Saccharomyces cerevisiae S288C: one gene and its partners. Changing the gene in region 2 together with the main gene of any one other region gives a genetic interaction. Each region holds a gene or a part of one and is shown on either strand. Other genes may lie near its edges. The genes, in order: YAR068W, PAU5 and YDL129W.

Region 1 (6,722 bases), on a different chromosome or scaffold from region 2:
AAGGCAAACATCTCTTTATCAGTAATATCCAAAGCTGTTCAACTTCTCGAATTGGCCCAGGAAAAGAGCATTGGGGCGGCAACTAACTCTGGCATACTTACAGTTTCTGCTCTTGACAGCGCTAAAAAAGGGCTTGTTTTGTAATGCCCGGTTCGCAATTCTACAAGTACCACGCACTAGCTGCTAAAAGTGTCTAACCTTGCGAACAAATCTGGACTTTCTTATGAGAATCCCATCGTCAAGAAACAAAATTATACAGACAGGCGTAAATGTAGCTCGTAAGCGCCTGATCAAGTAAGCCAAATGCGCTAACTTGAGGAAATATAGCCATCTAAATCTCTGCAACATGCCAATTCGCACGTGACTTGAAACTATGGAAAGTGTCTAGAAGATTACCAAGAACCACGTTATTTGAGAGAGGATGGCAAGGTGACGACAATCACACCAAGACCACATTTTGGGTGCGCCTGGAAGCAAGACCTGAGAAACTGGGCCAAAATATTCAAACCAAGCATAAGATAGTTGGAGGTAGGAATACACTATCTAATCTGTGCTGATGAAATGCTGGCGAAAACGGGCGATGTAGTGGTACAGAAGGTGCCGGTTATCCGTTTGTCCGTTTTTCTTCATTTTTTTTTTGTTTTTCCCTTTTGTCTTTTGCACCGCTTATATATGGGTATGAAACAAGTTCAAGAATTTATAATGGAACCCAAAGGTTCAGTCTTTGTAGTTCGAGCGACATTGCGCGTTTCCTTAGAAAACGCTGGAAAGATATTCTTTAACGAGACGGAGTAATTCTCGTCAGGAATAGGATGTTGATTGATTTTTGCTGTAGTTATATAGCAGGGACCCACGGAAGAGAGCGAGCGCCTTCTTTCACAGGGACTTTTGTCAGCCACGTCTCCGGGGAAAACAATTGCCGTCCGCGTCGCAGTGAGATTACGCAGCCGTGCGCTTCAGGGACAGAAAAGAAGCATTTCGCGGCTACGGAGAAACCGTGCACTAACTCTCTCGAGGGTAGCCGCAAAGATTTCTTGTCTCTTCCATTAGGACATAGCTATCTTTTTCTTTTCTGTTTTTGGCGTATGATCTGTTCTGAGCCAAAGTTATAGATCATTGCTTGAATAAGCACCTCACAGAGTAGGGATTGTATAGAAAGTAGCTGAGCGTCTGCCCACGTAACAAACAATCTTGCCCCTTCCCCGCTCTTGTTTTCGCGTGCCTCTTCTACAATAATCTGGCCAGGCTGAATCGCGTTCTGCTGCTGCTGCTGCTATTGTTATTGTTGTTGTTGTTGTTTTGGCCAATTGCTTATGTGTTGGTCTGCAAATTAGCACCTCGTTCCCTGTTGGCAAACGCGCGCGTACAAGCCTTACAGGGCTTGAGAATGTTCTTCGTAGAAATGCATGCACAAAAATTCTGATCTAGCACACCATCGGTCTCTGTAGCTTCGGGCTCTATAGCTATGGGTTAGGAGTCCGTGAGTAGTAACAAGAAGAAGTATATAAAAAGCAGGTAAATCGTACTTCAATATGCTTCATTGTCACTGGATCGTCATATTCACTCTTGTTCTCATAATAGCAGTCCAAGTTTTCATCTTTGCAAGCTTTACTATTTCTTTCTTTTTATTGGTAAACTCTCGCCCATTACAAAAAAAAAAGAGATGTTCAATCGTTTTAACAAATTCCAAGCTGCTGTCGCTTTGGCCCTACTCTCTCGCGGCGCTCTCGGTGACTCTTACACCAATAGCACCTCCTCCGCAGACTTGAGTTCTATCACTTCCGTCTCGTCAGCTAGTGCAAGTGCCACCGCTTCCGACTCACTTTCTTCCAGTGACGGTACCGTTTATTTGCCATCCACAACAATTAGCGGTGATCTCACAGTTACTGGTAAAGTAATTGCAACCGAGGCCGTGGAAGTCGCTGCCGGTGGTAAGTTGACTTTACTTGACGGTGAAAAATACGTCTTCTCATCTGATCTAAAAGTTCACGGTGATTTGGTTGTCGAAAAGTCTGAAGCAAGCTACGAAGGTACCGCGTTCGACGTTTCTGGTGAGACTTTTGAAGTTTCCGGTAACTTCAGTGCTGAAGAAACTGGCGCTGTCTCCGCATCTATCTATTCATTCACACCTAGCTCGTTCAAGAGCAGCGGTGACATTTCTTTGAGTTTGTCAAAGGCCAAGAAGGGTGAAGTCACCTTTTCTCCATACTCTAACGCTGGTACCTTTTCTTTGTCAAATGCTATTCTCAACGGTGGTTCTGTTTCCGGTTTGTAACGTAGAGACGACGATGAAGGCTCTGTAAATAACGGTGAAATCAACCTAGACAATGGAAGTACCTATGTTATCGTTGAACCAGTTTCTGGAAACGGTACAATCAACATCGTCTCTGGTAACCTATACTTGCACTACCCTGACACCTTTACTGGCCAAACTGTTGTATTCAAGGGTGAAGGTGTTCTTGCCGTTGACCCAACCGAAACCAACGCCACTCCTATTCCTGTTGTTGGCTACACCGGTAAGAACCAAATTGCCATTACCGCCGACATCACTGCTCTTTCTTACGACGGTACTACTGGTGTCTTAACTGCAACCCAAGGTAACAGACAATTCTCTTTTGAAATTGGTACTGGATTCTCTAGTTCTGGCTTCAGTGTCTCCGAAGGAATCTTCGCAGGCGCCTACTCATATTACCTAAACTATGACGGTGTCATCGCTACAAGCGCCGCATCCACATCCGCATCCACTACCTCTGGTGTTGTCTCTACTGCCACTGGTTCAGTCACTTTATCCTCTAACGCTTCTACCACCGTCTCTTCTACGATCTCTTCTAGCGCCCCAGACTCAATAATTCCTTCATCTAGCGCCTCTATCTCTGGTGTCTCAAACTCCACTACAGCATCTGGTTCAATCGCTTCTACTGCTTCCACCGCTTCCACTACTTCTACTGCATCCGCTGCATCCGCCACCAGCTTCACCTCAGGTTCCGCTTCTGTCTACACTACTACATTAACTTACTTGAATGCCACAAGTACAGTCGTGGTTTCCTGTTCAGAAACAACCGACGCTAGCGGTAACATTTACACCATTACCACAACTGTCCCATGCTCATCTACCACTGCCACCATCACATCTTGTGACGAAAACGGATGCCATGTTCCAGCACCAACTGCTACCGACGCAACTGCAACCGTTTCCTCCAAGTCATACACCACTGTTACTGTTACTCACTGTGACAACAATGGCTGTAACACCAAGACTGTCACTTCTGAATGTTCTAAAGAAACTGCAGCAACCACCATTTCTCCAAAATCATACACTACTGTTACCGTTACTCACTGTGACGACAACGGCTGTAACACCAAGACTGTCACTTCCGAGGCTTCCAAACAAACATCATTGGCCACTAGCACAGTCACCAAGTCTGCTGCTCCAACTTCTCATACTGCTGCTTCCAGCACCTTCACTGGTATTGTCGTTCAATCCGAAGGTATGGCTGCTGGTTTGAGAACCAATGCTTTAAGTACTTTGGCAGGTATTTTCATCCTTGCTTTTTTTTAAAATGAGTGCGTAACCGTACTTTCCTAAAAATAACTAAGTAGAAAGTATTTTAATATATAAACGTCAGTGTAAACATTCAAGTGATTTTAACTTTACGCGGTTGAAGAATGCTGTGTTCGAACTATAAAGCGTCAGAAAAGATGGTTTAGCGAAGGCACCATTATGAAGATAGACACATTCTTCTTTTTTTTTTTTTTTTTTTTTTTTTTTTTTTTTTTTCATTTACTTTTATTTCGCGCGGTCGGTAAATTTTTCGTGGGTTTCTTTGAATCTATTAGCCGACATAAGAATAATGCATAAATAATATTTTTAATGTCTTCCTATGCCCAAAAGAAGAAGTCTTGAAGTTGCCGCACATGGAAATCACATGACCATGGCTTGGCCCTTCGTTTTAAATGCAACATGCAATATGGAATGTGTCATGAATACTATCAGCAGGAACAGAAAGCGTCGTTTTGTTTCTGCAAATGCTGTAGTTTTGGGCCGAAAATAGATGTAGTAGAATATATAGTGAAACGTGATGTACAAAAGAAAAAGGTAGTTTAAAAAAAATTAGATAACTTGGATTTTTACCCTGAATATTGCATGTGATTCGTAAAGAACTGAGTTACCTCAAACGGACCTCCCTTTTCATTTCGTATTCCGCGAATCATGAAGTCATGCAATTACCTCTGAAGAGCTGACTGTCCCAAAAGAAGCTATCGAATCTGTCCTTGATTTATTTAAGCCTTGCGTTTCGAGAAAGTGAAAACCAATTGAATACAAAATAAAAAAAAAGAAGAAAGAAATAGCAGGTCTAAGATATATAAGAAAGTTAATATCATTTTTGAACATTTTATTTTAGACGCCTTCAGCCGCGCGACGCCCGGAGTAATCATATGCCCATGACTTTACCAAAAGGCAACAGGGAGGAACATGCATTAATGTGAAGCATCACTGCTGCAATTCTCGGTGTTGCTAATAATTCATGGATCGAGAAAGAGACATAACATTTAGGCCAATTTTTTGAATAAATATGAACTCAGCTAAGACTCGACAATACAATTTTCTTATACTAAACGTAGATTTATAAAATAAACACAACTGTAAGGGCAATGCAACCGTAGATGCATATATCATTTATAGAAATTATATCCAACAGAAAGCTCAGACTTATATCCGGTTTAAGAGAGAAATTCTTGCTCATATTACCCCAAGACCAGGTGGCGTGTTGAAGTTTATAACATATAAGAACTACTACCTCATGAATTCTAGTGGATGAAAGAAGCAGCACGAACACCATTTCTACAGACAACGACACATGGAAAGGTTCACCATTCCCAAAGAAAACAACGATGGCCACAAGGGTGTGGTCCTCCATTCTCCTACTGTTGGAAGGAGATATTATCCGACCGACTGTTTTGTGATATGGCAAACTATTTTTTTAAATGAGCAAAATTACTTCTTTTGGCTGGAAATGTCATTAGAAAGTGCCCAAGTGACATTTAGCTAAACTCGGGTATTGTCTACAAGACCGGTGCTGTGACCGTTTCCAATACGGAAAGAAACGGTACTGGGAGCAGGAGTTGCTTTTACAGATATGAACAATGCCAATAGAGCCGCACATGTAATTACTGGTTCACACTCGTGGGGCCCACACGATTCCTGTGCAAAGTTTGACAAGAGGATGGAGTTTCACGTAAATGCTGCCAAAGGTGATGCGGTTTTGTTTTTGGGCAGCCTCTACCATGTTGCAAGTGCGAACCATACTGTGGCCACATAGATTACAAAAAAAGTCCAGGATATCTTGCAAACCTAGCTTGTTTTGTAAACGACATTGAAAAAAGCGTATTAAGGTGAAACAATCAAGATTATCTATGCCGATGAAAAATGAAAGGTATGATTTCTGCCACAAATATATAGTAGTTATTTTATACATCAAGATGAGAAAATAAAGGGATTTTTTCGTTCTTTTATCATTTTCTCTTTCTCACTTCCGACTACTTCTTATATCTACTTTCATCGTTTCATTCATCGTGGGTGTCTAATAAAGTTTTAATGACAGAGATAACCTTGATAAGCTTTTTCTTATACGCTGTGTCACGTATTTATTAAATTACCACGTTTTCGCATAACATTCTGTAGTTCATGTGTACTAAAAAAAAAAAAAAAAAAGAAATAGGAAGGAAAGAGTAAAAAGTTAATAGAAAACAGAACACATCCCTAAACGAAGCCGCACAATCTTGGCGTTCACACGTGGGTTTAAAAAGGCAAATTACACAGAATTTCAGACCCTGTTTACCGGAGAGATTCCATATTCCGCACGTCACATTGCCAAATTGGTCATCTCACCAGATATGTTATACCCGTTTTGGAATGAGCATAAACAGCGTCGAATTGCCAAGTAAAACGTATATAAGCTCTTACATTTCGATAGATTCAAGCTCAGTTTCGCCTTGGTTGTAAAGTAGGAAGAAGAAGAAGAAGAAGAGGAACAACAACAGCAAAGAGAGCAAGAACATCATCAGAAATACCAATGTTGAAGTCAGCCGTTTATTCAATTTTAGCCGCTTCTTTGGTTAATGCAGGTACCATACCCCTCGGAAAGTTATCTGACATTGACAAAATCGGAACTCAAACGGAAATTTTCCCATTTTTGGGTGGTTCTGGGCCATACTACTCTTTCCCTGGTGATTATGGTATTTCTCGTGATTTGCCGGAAAGTTGTGAAATGAAGCAAGTGCAAATGGTTGGTAGACACGGTGAAAGATACCCCACTGTCAGCAAAGCCAAAAGTATCATGACAACATGGTACAAATTGAGTAACTATACCGGTCAATTCAGCGGAGCATTGTCTTTCTTGAACGATGACTACGAATTTTTCATTCGTGACACCAAAAACCTAGAAATGGAAACCACACTTGCCAATTCGGTCAATGTTTTGAACCCATATACCGGTGAGATGAATGCTAAGAGACACGCTCGTGATTTCTTGGCGCAATATGGCTACATGGTCGAAAACCAAACCAGTTTTGCCGTTTTTACGTCTAACTCGAACAGATGTCATGATACTGCCCAGTATTTCATTGACGGTTTGGGTGATAAATTCAACATATCCTTGCAAACCATCAGTGAAGCCGAGTCTGCTGGTGCCAATACTCTGAGTGCCCACCATTCGTGTCCT
Region 2 (6,606 bases):
TAATAATAATCATAGTCATAATAGTAGTCATAATAATAACAGTCCCAGCATCGCCAATAATACAAACGCAAACACAAACACAAACACAAGTGCAAGTACAAACACCAATAGTCCTTTACTGAGAAGAAACCCCTCCCCATCTATAGTGAAGCCTGGCTCGCGAAGAAATTCCTCCGTGAGGAAGAAGAAACCTGCTTTGAAGAAGATCAAGTCTTCCACTTCTGTGCAATCTTCGGCTACTCCGCCTTCGAACACCTCATCCAATCCGGATATAAAATGCTCCAACTGCACAACCTCCACCACTCCGCTGTGGAGGAAGGACCCCAAGGGTCTTCCCCTGTGCAATGCTTGCGGCCTCTTCCTCAAGCTCCACGGCGTCACAAGGCCTCTGTCGTTGAAGACTGACATCATTAAGAAGAGACAGAGGTCGTCTACCAAGATAAACAACAATATAACGCCCCCTCCATCGTCGTCTCTCAATCCGGGAGCAGCAGGGAAAAAGAAAAACTATACAGCAAGTGTGGCAGCGTCCAAGAGGAAGAACTCACTGAACATTGTCGCACCTTTGAAGTCTCAGGACATACCCATTCCGAAGATTGCCTCACCTTCCATCCCACAATACCTCCGCTCTAACACTCGCCACCACCTTTCGAGTTCCGTACCCATCGAGGCGGAAACGTTCTCCAGCTTTCGGCCTGATATGAATATGACTATGAACATGAACCTTCACAACGCCTCAACCTCCTCCTTCAACAATGAAGCCTTCTGGAAGCCTTTGGACTCCGCAATAGATCATCATTCTGGAGACACAAATCCAAACTCAAACATGAACACCACTCCAAATGGCAATCTGAGCCTGGATTGGTTGAATCTGAATTTATAGATCCCCCAAAAAAAAAAAAGTACTCGCTTCTTTCCATGTCCGCTTCATATATATATACACATACTAATCAAACTCTATGTATACATAGAATAAAAAGAAGAACACTATATTTATTTCATAAAAAAAAAAAAAAAATAACAAAAAAAGTGCAACATTTATCAAAAGCTCAGTGTGCGTTATGCTTCCATGTGACCCAACATCTATTGCGGCGGTGACAGAATAGTTGAAAGGCGCAGGGCTCACACACAGGAATGGCCCTCCCAAATTTAAAAGAGAACTAAACCAGTTATCCTAGGCAATTACTTTATTTGAGTCTTATATGACGTCACTAGAAGCTCAGTAAGAGCAACCGAGACCTGAACATCCTTTTTTTTTTGCTTCTTTATTTGGCAGCATTTTTCAAAAATAATAAAATGGAAGCCGCGAGTACGAACAATGATGTGTTCTGGGAATACCTCGTCAAAACAAGACAATGGCAAGGATTTTCTTTCATCAGGCAGAAAGATCTGGATCTGAATGGCATCATTTTGTGATGTGTAAAAGCGGGACCTTGTTATTTCGACTTTTTGCATCATGTTGATGCAATTTGCTACTTTTCCGACGGTGCGCTCCAACGGATGGGTATTTCCTTAATAACAAGGCATTTCTCTGGAAGTTGGCTTACTGTTTGAAATCACAGCCGGTCACAAAATAAAGTAAAAAAACTATCTCTCTCCACAAGAAGTAATTACAGGTTGTATACTACATATGATCGTATTTCTTTATGAACACTAAGGAGTTTCCCGCTGTGTACCGCAATATCCACACAAAAGGAAGGAAGAAACTTCTGTGGCTTGACAGATAAATAACTGCAGTAGTCGGTGCGTACTAATTGTTTGGTCGTGTCTGAAAAATCTTGAATTTTCAGAAAAGAATAAGCCCCAAATGTCAGTGATGGTAGTAGCAGTACTCCCCTACGATTTTAGATACTTTAGAGAGCCCACCTTCAGAATCGGAAGGAGGATAATTTTGTAAAGCCCTTCTGTTTTTTCTCTTGCATAACTTATATTTCCACATCAAAAAGTAGTGTGCTAAGAAAAAGGAGACGAGAAAAAGGATTACGGCACTCTCTGCATCTAGACATATACCAAAAGTTGGGTTTGCTCACGAAAATACCATAATTGTGGTGTCAAAAAAATCCTGCCTCATAATACCACTGCAGCAATTGTGGATGACTAAAAAATAACTTGCATTCCACGATGTTATTTTACTTTATAAAGCACCTGCAATTTTTTTTTTTGTATTAACTCATCGAGTATGTCTGATGTGTAAACTGAACCAGGCTTAATATCGTTTCTAATTCTTGTTGTGAGAAAACTTTCCTGCCTAGTGTATTTCGTCAGGGCGAACCTTCGGATAGGCACCGAACTCCGAGATTCTTGCTCCAATTTAAGAAATAAGCTTTTTCCGTCCCAATACAATAGAACATTATTAAAGTTAATAATAAAAATGGCACGGCACCAGTTGGAAGTTAAATCCCAACATTTGCTGCAAGAATAGAAAAGAAGTCATAACAAATTTGCATATTACTTACGGCTTCAAAAAAGCACCGAAACTAATCGAGAAAGCTTATAATATCGGTATACATTTGAATGTATTTTAACTATTTCTATATCAAAAAAAAAAAAAAAAATTGTATATTTTTCGTTATTCTCTAATTCGTATCACATTTTATCCCTAAGGGAATCTATCTCTAATTTGCAATAGTGTAGATACCGTCTGCGGATAGAGCGCTAGAGATAGCTGGCTTTAATCTGCTAGAGTACCATGGAACACCAGTGATAACTCTGGTAACTTGGTCGGCGGGAATACCAGTCAACATGGTGGTGAAATCACCGTAGTTGAAAACAGCTTCTGCAATTTCAACTGGATAAGTTTCAGTTGGGTGGGCAGCTTGGAAGGAGTAGTATTCAGCCAAATGAGCTCTGATATCGGAAACATAGACACCTAATTCAACCAAATTAACTCTTTCGTCAGATTGAGATAGTGTAGTGGTTGCTGCAGCGGAGGCACCAGCGGCAATGGCGGCGACACCAGCGGCGATTGAAGTTAATTTGACCATTGTATTTGTTGTTTTTTGGGTTGTTGCTTAGTGGAGATATAAGCTTAACTGGAAGGAAAAGAACAGAGAAATGTCTCAAACAAAGCTGATCAAACCGCTGTATTTATATAAATTTTTTGAGCAATTACATCCCAAACAGGCTATTACTGGTCACTCATTTTGCACTCATATCTCACATATTCTAATTCCTGGCCACTTAGCCATTATTACTATGGGGGTGTATTTTCCTTGAACGATGCTGCACTTCGTATAAGAAACACGCTTCATATTCCCCATATCTTCGTATGTTTAGAGCGCAAGAATGTTCCTTACAGTAAAGGTGCCTTTCGACCTGCAGACACAATGTTAGCCAAGTAATAGAAGCAAAGCCAATATTGTCTTGGCCTCGTTCAATTGCCTAACCCTTGGCACTAAACGGTTGCTAGGAGAAAAAACACGGACCTTTTCCCAAATTAGAAACACTAAAAAATGTTAATATGGTACTAGTCGTCGTACCCTGCTGAAATCATAAAAACCTTACGCCATCTGTGGGACTCGTCATAGGGTTTAGTGTATATTGAATGTTGGAAAATCTCTCGTTCTGATATGCCCAACAAACCAACAATGTACAATGTGAGGTTTCTACAAATCAACAACTATGGTTTCCCCTAATTCACTTGGATTGATTGGTTCTAGTGAAAACTTTACCTGTTACAAAGTTTTGAATCATTTTAATTAGATATCGTGTACCGAACAGTATCTGATTCGTATAAAAAAAGGAATATTGAAGGTCAGTTATCCTAGTGACAGGTGAAAAAAAATTGATATGTATGCCCTTTGTATTATCTTTGGGGTGGAAAGAAGTGAAAACAGAAGCAAATTGGTTTTGCAGTAAGTTTAGTCTTTTGACCTGTAACTGGTTAATTTCGAAATGACTGGTGGAGCCTGACTCGAATATAGAGCAAAGGGAGTCTTTAGTAGTATATCTTCTTACTTCGATGATATTTGAATAAAGTTCAACTATCATCTACCGATTAGTATTCATATTACTACTATATTATAATATGGGTGTGAGAATATGGCGTAACGTTTGAGAGATAGTCTCAGGTGTAGTGGAAGCTGAAATTCAGGGGAATGATGTTGTAATGGAATAATTAATGACAGGATATGAGATGGAAGGAAATTTAATTATATTATTACATAGAAATATCGATTTCCTTTTGTGAATTTCTATATCCTCGAGGAAACTTTCTGGTATACTTTGTATACTAAATTTTATAGCCTTTGACAACAACGAAATCCCAAAAAGTATTTCATAATTCATGTACTTACGAGAAGAAAAATCATTGCCCTGCTAGTGCTTCAAAAAATATAATTGGGAGCAACTAAAATCTCCTTGCAATGAGTTACAAGGAACAGATTCTTACCGGTAGTCCTGGTGAGCAAAAGACTTAACCATGTGGCAGCCGTTGTCTAATATCCACTAGCTATACACTTACATGGAATATTGGTTGCTGAAATAATTAGACTTAATGGTAGCAAACGTAGTGGTCATCCATATGAATATATGAGCAAGAAATAAACGTGAACATGTAAAATAGTAATACAGACACCATAATGTACAGGTTAATCCTGATATGTTTCTCGAATGAAATCGGGAAGACTAATAGGAGGCTCAATTCTATATTCACTCACGTTATGCGCCTGAATTTGAATGGATATTGTTGATAGAAGATTCCCTTTAATCACTCTCCTATATAAATATTTCTGTTTTTCTTATTAACGCAACAATAATTCGGGCGTGTGGTCTAGTGGTATGATTCTCGCTTTGGGCGACTTCCTGAATAAACAGGAAGACAAAGCATGCGAGAGGCCCTGGGTTCAATTCCCAGCTCGCCCCCTTTTTTTTGCATATCTGGTCATAATATCTTATCTGATCGACTAGTAGTTTCCTCATATATTAATTCCTTGTGCAATTTTTTTTTACTTACTCAATACTAAGCGGTTCTTCATAAATATATATACTATACTGTTTATTATTTCCTGTTTTCAACAATGAATAGCTTTATCATAGGCAGCCATGTTAGCTTCCTTAAATGCTTCGGACAAAGTAGGATGAGCATGGCAGACCCTAGCAACATCTTCTGCGGAAGCGCCATATTCTAAGGCTAAGCCAGCTTCAGCAATCATTTCACCGGCATTTGGACCGATAATGTGAGCCCCCAAAATACGCTCGGTCTTGGAATCGATCAAAATCTTCACGAAACCTTCAGTGTCTTGGTTGGTCTTGGCTCTTGAATTGGCCGCAAAGGGGAACTTACCAATTTTATAGTCAATGCCGGCTTCTTTCAATTGCTCTTCGGTTTTACCAACCCATGCTACTTCTGGGTGAGAATACATGACCGAAGGAATGTTGTTATAGTTGACATGACCGTGACCAGTTTTCAACATTTCGACAGCTGCAATACCTTCCTCTTCGGCTTTGTGAGCCAGCATTGGACCAAATGTAACATCTCCTACCACTTTAATGTGTGGGAACTTGGAATTAAATTGGTCATCAATGACTAGGCGTCCCCTTTTGTCTACTTCTAATCCAATCTTTTCAGCCCCTAAGCCAGCAATGTAAGGTCTTCTACCAACAGCAACCAGCAAAACTTCAGCTTCCAAATTTTCTTGCTTATTCGTTTTAGTATCTTCTACAACAATTTCGACGACGTTCTTGTCGTCGTTTCTCTTTGCAGAAATAACTTTGGTGCTTAATTTGAAGTCCAAACCTTGCTTTTTCAAGAACTTTTGGGTGGCTTTGGCAACCTCGCCGTCCATAGATGCACCAATTTGAGGTTGAAATTCTACTACAGTAACCTTGGAGCCTAATCTAGAGTAAACTGAACCCATTTCCAATCCGATGATTCCTCCACCAATGATGGTTAATCTTTTGGGAATTTCCTTTAACGAAAGAGCACCTGTTGAAGAGACAATTTTTTCCTCATCTATTTCAATACCGGGGAAGGGTGTAACTTCAGAGCCCGTGGCGACTATGATGTTCTTAACATCTAGTATGTGGTCTTCCTTGACAGTGCCTTCCAACCCATCAACGGGAGTTACTCTGATCTTCGTTTCGTCTTCGAATGAACCATTACCTTTATAATAGGTGACCTTATTTTTCTTGAACAGAAGCTCAATACCTCCAGTTAATTGCTTAACAGCGTCATCCTTAGCCTTTTGGAAGTTTGCTACGTTAATTTTGATATCACCGTTGACGTCAATACCTCTCTTTTGCGCTTCCGTATGCATTTGGTGGAATAAATGAGAATTATTTAGAAGTGCTTTGGAGGGGATACATCCAACGTTAAGACAGGTACCGCCTAATTTGCCTCTTTTTTCTACACATGCAGTGTTAAATCCCAATTGAGCAGCTTTGATAGCAGCCACGTAACCAGCAGGGCCACCACCGATGATGACTACATCATGTGACTTGTTAATGGTCAATGTCCTGACTGTGGACGAAAAGGCACGCTTATTATTTAGGAGTGATCTGATTCTTAACATTGTGAACTGTTAGTATGTTCTTTGATGGTACGACAGAGACAATCGAACAAAACCGTATATATATAAATATACGTTATATGTATATATATATCTA
Region 3 (7,401 bases), on a different chromosome or scaffold from region 2:
AATATTAATTTCGCTAGCGGAGTCAAAAACGACATTCTGCAATCGCTATCCGGTGGAGGCCACGATAATCACGGTAATAAGTTAGGAAACAAACGCTTGACGGAAGACGAAAGAATAGAAAAAGAATTGAATACAGAAAGGCAGATTTTCTTGGAAGCTTGTATTGTGAGAATAATGAAAGCGAAAAGAAATCTGCCACATACAACATTGGTCAACGAATGCATTGCGCAATCACACCAAAGGTTCAATGCAAAGGTTTCTATGGTCAAGAGAGCCATCGATAGCTTAATACAAAAGGGATACCTACAGAGGGGAGACGATGGTGAATCGTATGCTTACCTTGCTTAATCATCTTTGAAGGCTTGTGCTGATCGAACGAAGCAAATCCTACGAGTAAATACATAAGCGTATACATATATATATATATATATATATATATATATATATGTATATATATATATGTGTGTGTGTGTAATTGTGTGTATTCAACTGAACTATGAAGAGTCTTTGACCTCTTGAGAATCTCATAGTATGAAGATATGGCACTTCTCTTTCCGTTGTAACATCCTTTACCGGGCGGCTTTTCGGCCTGCTTGAGAAGAGATCAGGCTGAAATGATGAGACTGACAACAAGGATCAGTCAGTGGCAGAGTTGAAATTCCGCTGGAAATCGTCACCAGCAGCTACCAGCTCCAAGAAATCCGCGTAGAAATCACGTCGCGCAATGTGCGATAGTGGTGGAACAGCGAAAATTAGTCACTTTGCAAAGATGCCAAGCTGATCGTTCTCGTTGTGTGTGATTCTACGATATTGCGCATGAGTGGTGTTGAGCATGCGTTTGTTCGCATTTTCATGCAGTCTCTTATATACTAATATATATATGCAACAGATTTCAAAATTTATCTTTCTTCTTGTTGCGTTTAGGCCTTTATTTGCTACACATTTAAAAGTGCAACGACAACCCAAGTAATTGTATACTTTAACAAACCATGTCTGAAAATAACGAATTCCAGAGTGTCACCGAATCGACGACTGCTCCAACCACTAGTAACCCATATGGCCCAAATCCTGCGGATTATCTATCCAATGTTAAGAATTTCCAGTTGATTGATTCAACACTAAGAGAGGGTGAACAATTTGCCAACGCATTCTTCGATACTGAAAAAAAGATTGAAATTGCTAGAGCCTTGGATGATTTCGGTGTGGACTACATCGAGTTAACCTCTCCCGTAGCATCCGAACAATCAAGAAAGGACTGTGAAGCTATATGTAAACTAGGTTTAAAGGCCAAGATCCTTACACACATTCGTTGTCACATGGACGATGCCAGAGTCGCCGTAGAGACTGGTGTCGACGGTGTCGATGTTGTTATCGGCACCTCCAAATTTTTAAGACAATATTCCCACGGTAAGGATATGAACTACATCGCCAAGAGTGCTGTTGAAGTCATTGAATTTGTCAAATCCAAAGGTATTGAAATCAGATTTTCCTCTGAAGATTCCTTCAGAAGTGATCTCGTTGATCTTTTGAACATTTATAAAACCGTTGACAAGATCGGTGTAAATAGAGTCGGTATTGCCGACACAGTTGGATGTGCCAACCCAAGACAAGTATATGAACTGATCAGAACTTTGAAGAGTGTTGTCTCATGTGACATCGAATGCCATTTCCACAATGATACCGGTTGTGCCATTGCAAACGCCTACACTGCTTTGGAAGGTGGTGCCAGATTGATTGACGTCAGTGTACTGGGTATTGGTGAAAGAAACGGTATCACTCCTCTAGGTGGGCTCATGGCAAGAATGATTGTTGCCGCACCAGACTATGTCAGATCTAAATACAAGCTGCACAAGATCAGAGACATCGAAAACCTGGTCGCTGATGCTGTGGAAGTTAACATTCCATTCAACAACCCTATCACCGGGTTCTGTGCATTCACACATAAAGCAGGTATCCATGCCAAGGCCATTTTGGCTAACCCATCTACCTACGAAATCTTGGACCCTCACGATTTCGGTATGAAGAGATATATCCACTTCGCCAACAGACTAACTGGTTGGAATGCAATCAAATCAAGAGTCGACCAATTGAACTTGAATTTGACGGATGATCAAATCAAGGAAGTTACTGCTAAGATTAAGAAGCTGGGTGATGTCAGACCGCTAAATATTGATGATGTAGACTCCATTATCAAGGACTTCCATGCAGAATTGAGCACCCCACTTTTAAAACCAGTAAATAAGGGTACAGATGACGACAATATCGATATTTCCAATGGGCATGTTTCTAAAAAGGCAAAGGTCACCAAATAGTTTCATTATATATATAGTACACATATTTCAAACATACACATACTGGGCGTTATTAGGTGTTTAAGTACTGGCGATTACCGTAATAAAATTACTATTTACGTCAACTTTATTCAATAAGCTTTTTCTCCTACTCCGATGTTCAATTGAGGCGGTTGCATCTAGCTTGAAGACGGGGTATTTTAATCAATTAATTGAGATCAATGAATATTGACTCTGTGCGATTCCCCACGCTATTATACTCTCACGGAGTATTTCCGTTATGATAATGATCACTATATACGTCAAATGATCGGTTTCTATTTGCTAACTATTTCAAGCATCATTATTATCTTTTAGGGGGCGGCTGGGGAATTATTTATTATATTTAGTTCAGTCGTTCATAAGAAAATTGAGCTCTCCATTGTAGATATTAAGAAGCACTTTCACCCAGTCATCCAACCAAACACGCTATCAATATGTTAAACCGTTGCATTTCCCGTAATACCAGGCTGCCAGTAAACCTAAGAATTGCCTCTCGCTTTTATTCAGATGGTCCTCTCGGTGGTGCCGGACCTGGTAATCCTCAAGATATCTTTATCAAGAGAGAACGTGCCAAAGAGGATTATTATGCCAGACAACAAGAGAGGGAACAATTAGCACATGTGAAGGAACAACTAAAAGAACACAAGAAAAAATTAGAGAATTTAGAAAACAAAATTAATAACCTTTCAAAGTGATTGGTCATTGTTAAGGCTAAAGGTTCTGCAGACACGTTTTGTACGTAGAAAGAAGCAATCATGCCAAATCAAAATTAGGAAATGAACATCAGTGGTATTTTATAAGCCTGCACATTATATATAGTATATACGTCACGAATACAGGAACACCGTCAGTTAGAGAAACGTCGCCTCAGTTTGCTCCTCAGATATTCCTTTAAACCCATACATATCTTACACAAAACATCCGTACATCAGAAGGATTATATGAAACGCAAAAAAAAATAAAATTTTCATTTCTGCGTGTCGCGCGAAGGAGAAATCTTAGAATTGAAACTTCCGGCTAACGGTTGCTAAAACTAGTTTCCAATGTAATACCAAATAAGCATTTGATGTTGAATCTGTAAGCCCCTTCGTGATATTTCAAGGTTAAATTACGAATTGCAGTTTCAGTTAATCTTGGACTAACAAAGAAATCAAACAACTAAGAAGAAAATGTCTGACTCTATTATTTCCTTTGCTGCTTTCATCCTAGCTGATGCTGGTTTGGAAATCACCTCTGACAACTTATTGACTATCACCAAGGCCGCTGGTGCTAATGTCGACAACGTATGTACAAAAATGCAACCTAAAACGACTTTGTGTGACTACGAAGAGAAAGATTAGACAACAATCGTCCCGAGAAATGCGCAATTTTGAATAATGGGGGACAGAAAAATTCCATGTAACGTTTCCCTCTAACATGATGAGATACTAGGGGGCAATACATGTAGAAATATTTCTCCATTAACGTATTTAACGGAAAGCACAAGTCAGGATCGAATTACTTCTTCAAGGATCTCATTTTACTAACAAACTCAACGAATAACGACTCTTCCTATGGAGCTTGTTATATGTATCATTGAATTAGGTCTGGGCTGATGTTTACGCTAAGGCTTTGGAAGGTAAGGACTTGAAGGAAATCCTATCTGGTTTCCATAACGCTGGCCCTGTTGCTGGTGCTGGTGCTGCTTCTGGCGCTGCCGCTGCTGGTGGTGACGCTGCTGCTGAAGAAGAAAAAGAAGAAGAAGCTGCTGAAGAATCTGACGACGACATGGGTTTCGGTTTATTCGACTAAACATACAAGGAAAGTCATTTTTTCTGCAACGTTTTTTTACCCTTTATGTATATATATTTACATATAAAATAAACCTCTAATCAATCAGTATTTAAAAATCGGAAGTAATGTCCATACGAAAGGGCTACGAGAATTTAACCATCTCGTTCTTTGCTAGAAATGGCACTGCGGGATAGCCCCTGGTTGCGGGATATCAGACCTGTCGTCACCATAGCAACCAAAAATTACATAAACCCATGGTTGCTCGCCCTTTGATGGCGACGCCGACCGAAGCTTCTCCCGCGCACATTTTTAAAATTTTTACTCATCGGGAATGAAAGGTTCTTTGACACATGTAAAGCTCCCTAAGTTGGACATACGTCGGTCCTTACAGGCTTAGCAATACACCTATAAGGCACTAGAAACGTATAAAATTTGAGCACTTTAGTTTCTCATCCCTTTTGATACGAAACGCGGGCAAGGCTACGGCATACAGGAATTTAACATTTTGTTGGCTATGGAGCTAAGAAGTAGACGGAGCGCAGAGGCCTATCTTGTCACGCCTGAGGAACCTGCCAAGAATAAGAGTGAACGGAGCATAGAATCCAATGAGAGGGTCGGCACGAGGGAAGCAAAGAGCGAGAACACAAGTGTATTTAGTCCCGCTTACTCTGATACCGCTACTACAGATTCATCGAAGAAAGTTGATGACAATGAATACTACAATTTTACTAGTCACTTCATGCCATCTTTGAAAAACACCAGAGAACTAGAAAACACAATTCTCAATCTCATACAGAGGATAAAGGAAGGGGATGATGAAACGTTAGTTAGTGAGAAAGATCTCATATTAAGTGTGCTTAACAGGTCTTTAGCATCCACATCTCACTGGAAGTTACAGGCCCAGCTATCGGAGTTAAGGGCCACCTCAGAGGGAAGGTATGCAGTTGAGACAAACTTGTTGAAAAAAGAGGTAGAATTTTTAAAAAACAAGACCCCAAAAACCAACGAAAGTGCAAGTTCCGCAGAGTTGAGACCACTTCTTGAACGACCTTTAAAGCGTAAACTGTCATTGCCAGGACTAGCGCAAAGACCATTATCCACTGGCGCTAGGCTAGAAGGAGGATATGGAGGTGTATCGCCGAACTCATGGAAAACCAAAGTTCCAAAACTTCCTCTTCCTGCTTCCCGGCCGTCTTTGAATCTTTCTCCCCAAAAAGTCCCAACGGGTACTGATAAAGTTGAGGAAGATACCAAAATTGACACATTGGAATTAGTAGAGAACAATAAACCGCATCCAAGGATGAGAAGAAGGAGTGACAATCCAGCAACAAACGAATATGTGAGAGTTTTTCATTTGGAGAAAAAAGAACCTAAATCACGAAAAAAATAGTATGCTAGAAAAAAATATTATTGAACGTCAATAATTTTTCTTTCTCATGGGACCAAACACATCATTTATTCTCTAATAATATTCTATTCTCTTTATTTCTGGTTTACTCTTTTAAAATTCTCCAAAGAGAAATATCTCCTTCAATTCTTCAGTTACGAATTTATGTTTACTTTTAACCTCTATCATACACCTTTAATCTAATGCCTCCAACTGTCTGTAATTTTAGTACAACTTAAAAGGGAAATTTTCCGAAAGTGTGAAAAAATTGGATTTTTTTTTCTCCTATTGAACTCAATGGAAGCTATCAGTTTGGAGAGGGACAATTATTTTCCTTCTTGTTTTTTGCCAAGAGAACAATATTGTAGTATTTAAGTTCTAATTTAATGTTATATATACTTATCTAATAGTTTTTTTTTTTCAATTAGATTGTTTTCCTTACGACGTTAATCCCTTGTCATCCTCACTTACGAACTTCGATGAATATGACATACGTAATCGGGAATGTTTTGTAAACTAATTGACGTAGTTCCTTTTTCGTAAACTGGACTGGACGGCTTGATCAAAATTCCCGAAAAATAAAAATTTCCCTCACGAGAATATGGAAATTACTATCGCCCAGCATTATTTTATCTCCTCAGAGAGTAAAAGAAGTTTCCTCTTTCCTAAACTTAAAAAGCAGTCCTAAATATATAGTTGACTTCGACGCATATCATTCATCGGCTGCTGATAGCAAATAAAACAACATAGATACAATGGATGCAACTACCCCACTATTAACTGTTGCGAACAGTCATCCCGCCCGCAATCCAAAGCACACTGCATGGAGAGCAGCTGTGTATGATTTACAGTATATTTTGAAAGCGTCACCCCTGAATTTCCTATTGGTATTTGTTCCTTTAGGTCTGATTTGGGGACACTTCCAACTATCTCATACACTGACATTTCTTTTTAATTTCTTGGCAATTATACCGTTGGCAGCTATCTTGGCTAATGCCACGGAAGAGTTGGCTGATAAGGCTGGTAACACCATTGGGGGACTGCTAAATGCTACTTTTGGTAACGCTGTGGAACTAATTGTTTCTATCATTGCCCTGAAAAAAGGTCAAGTGAGAATTGTGCAGGCCTCGATGCTAGGTAGTCTTCTTTCTAATTTGCTGTTAGTGCTTGGATTATGCTTCATATTCGGTGGATACAATAGAGTCCAACAGACATTCAACCAAACCGCCGCTCAAACAATGTCCTCATTACTTGCCATTGCGTGTGCATCCCTACTGATTCCCGCTGCCTTTAGAGCCACCCTACCTCATGGCAAGGAAGACCACTTCATCGATGGAAAAATATTGGAGTTATCCAGAGGCACCTCTATTGTTATTCTCATCGTTTACGTTTTGTTCTTATATTTCCAGCTAGGGAGCCATCACGCCTTGTTTGAGCAACAAGAAGAAGAGACCGATGAAGTTATGAGCACCATTTCCAGGAATCCACATCACTCTTTGAGTGTCAAGTCATCATTGGTGATACTTCTAGGTACAACTGTGATCATCTCTTTTTGTGCGGATTTTCTAGTCGGTACGATAGACAACGTTGTTGAATCTACCGGGCTATCTAAAACATTTATAGGTTTGATTGTCATTCCTATTGTGGGTAATGCCGCAGAGCATGTCACTTCAGTCTTGGTGGCCATGAAGGATAAGATGGATCTGGCGCTAGGTGTTGCCATCGGTTCCTCTTTACAAGTTGCCTTATTTGTTACACCATTCATGGTTCTTGTGGGCTGGATGATCGATGTTCCAATGACGCTAAATTTCTCCACTTTTGAAACCGCTACTCTTTTTATTGCTGTTTTCTTATCCAATTACTTAATTCTCGATGGTGAGTCAAACTGGTTGGAGGGTGTCATGTCTC

The links.
Region 1: mutations in PAU5 (region 2) and YAR068W together harm fitness less than expected from each alone (positive genetic interaction), as found in Saccharomyces cerevisiae (one large-scale study listed by BioGRID).
Region 3: mutations in PAU5 (region 2) and YDL129W together harm fitness more than expected from each alone (negative genetic interaction), as found in Saccharomyces cerevisiae (one large-scale study listed by BioGRID).

What each region holds. Positions count from the first base shown.
Region 1 is NC_001133.9:219,386-226,107, forward strand, and holds YAR068W (uncharacterized protein), read left to right. Parts: upstream 1-3,020; coding exon 3,021-3,506; downstream 3,507-6,722. Other genes in the region: YAR064W (uncharacterized protein), read left to right, coding at 813-1,112; YAR066W (uncharacterized protein), read left to right, coding at 1,664-2,275; acid phosphatase PHO11, read left to right, coding at 6,075-6,722.
Region 2 is NC_001138.5:96,616-103,221, forward strand, and holds PAU5 (seripauperin PAU5), read right to left. Parts: upstream 2,985-6,606; coding exon 2,616-2,984; downstream 1-2,615. Other genes in the region: GAT1 (Gat1p), read left to right, coding at 1-883; YFL019C (uncharacterized protein), read right to left, coding at 3,637-3,990; LPD1 (dihydrolipoyl dehydrogenase), read right to left, coding at 5,013-6,512.
Region 3 is NC_001136.10:226,404-233,804, forward strand, and holds YDL129W (uncharacterized protein), read left to right. Parts: upstream 1-4,620; coding exon 4,621-5,496; downstream 5,497-7,401. Other genes in the region: cullin CDC53, read left to right, coding at 1-348; homocitrate synthase LYS21, read left to right, coding at 990-2,312; STF1 (ATPase-binding protein), read left to right, coding at 2,768-3,028; ribosomal protein P1 RPP1B, read left to right, coding at 3,503-3,616, 3,918-4,124; VCX1 (Vcx1p), read left to right, coding at 6,249-7,401.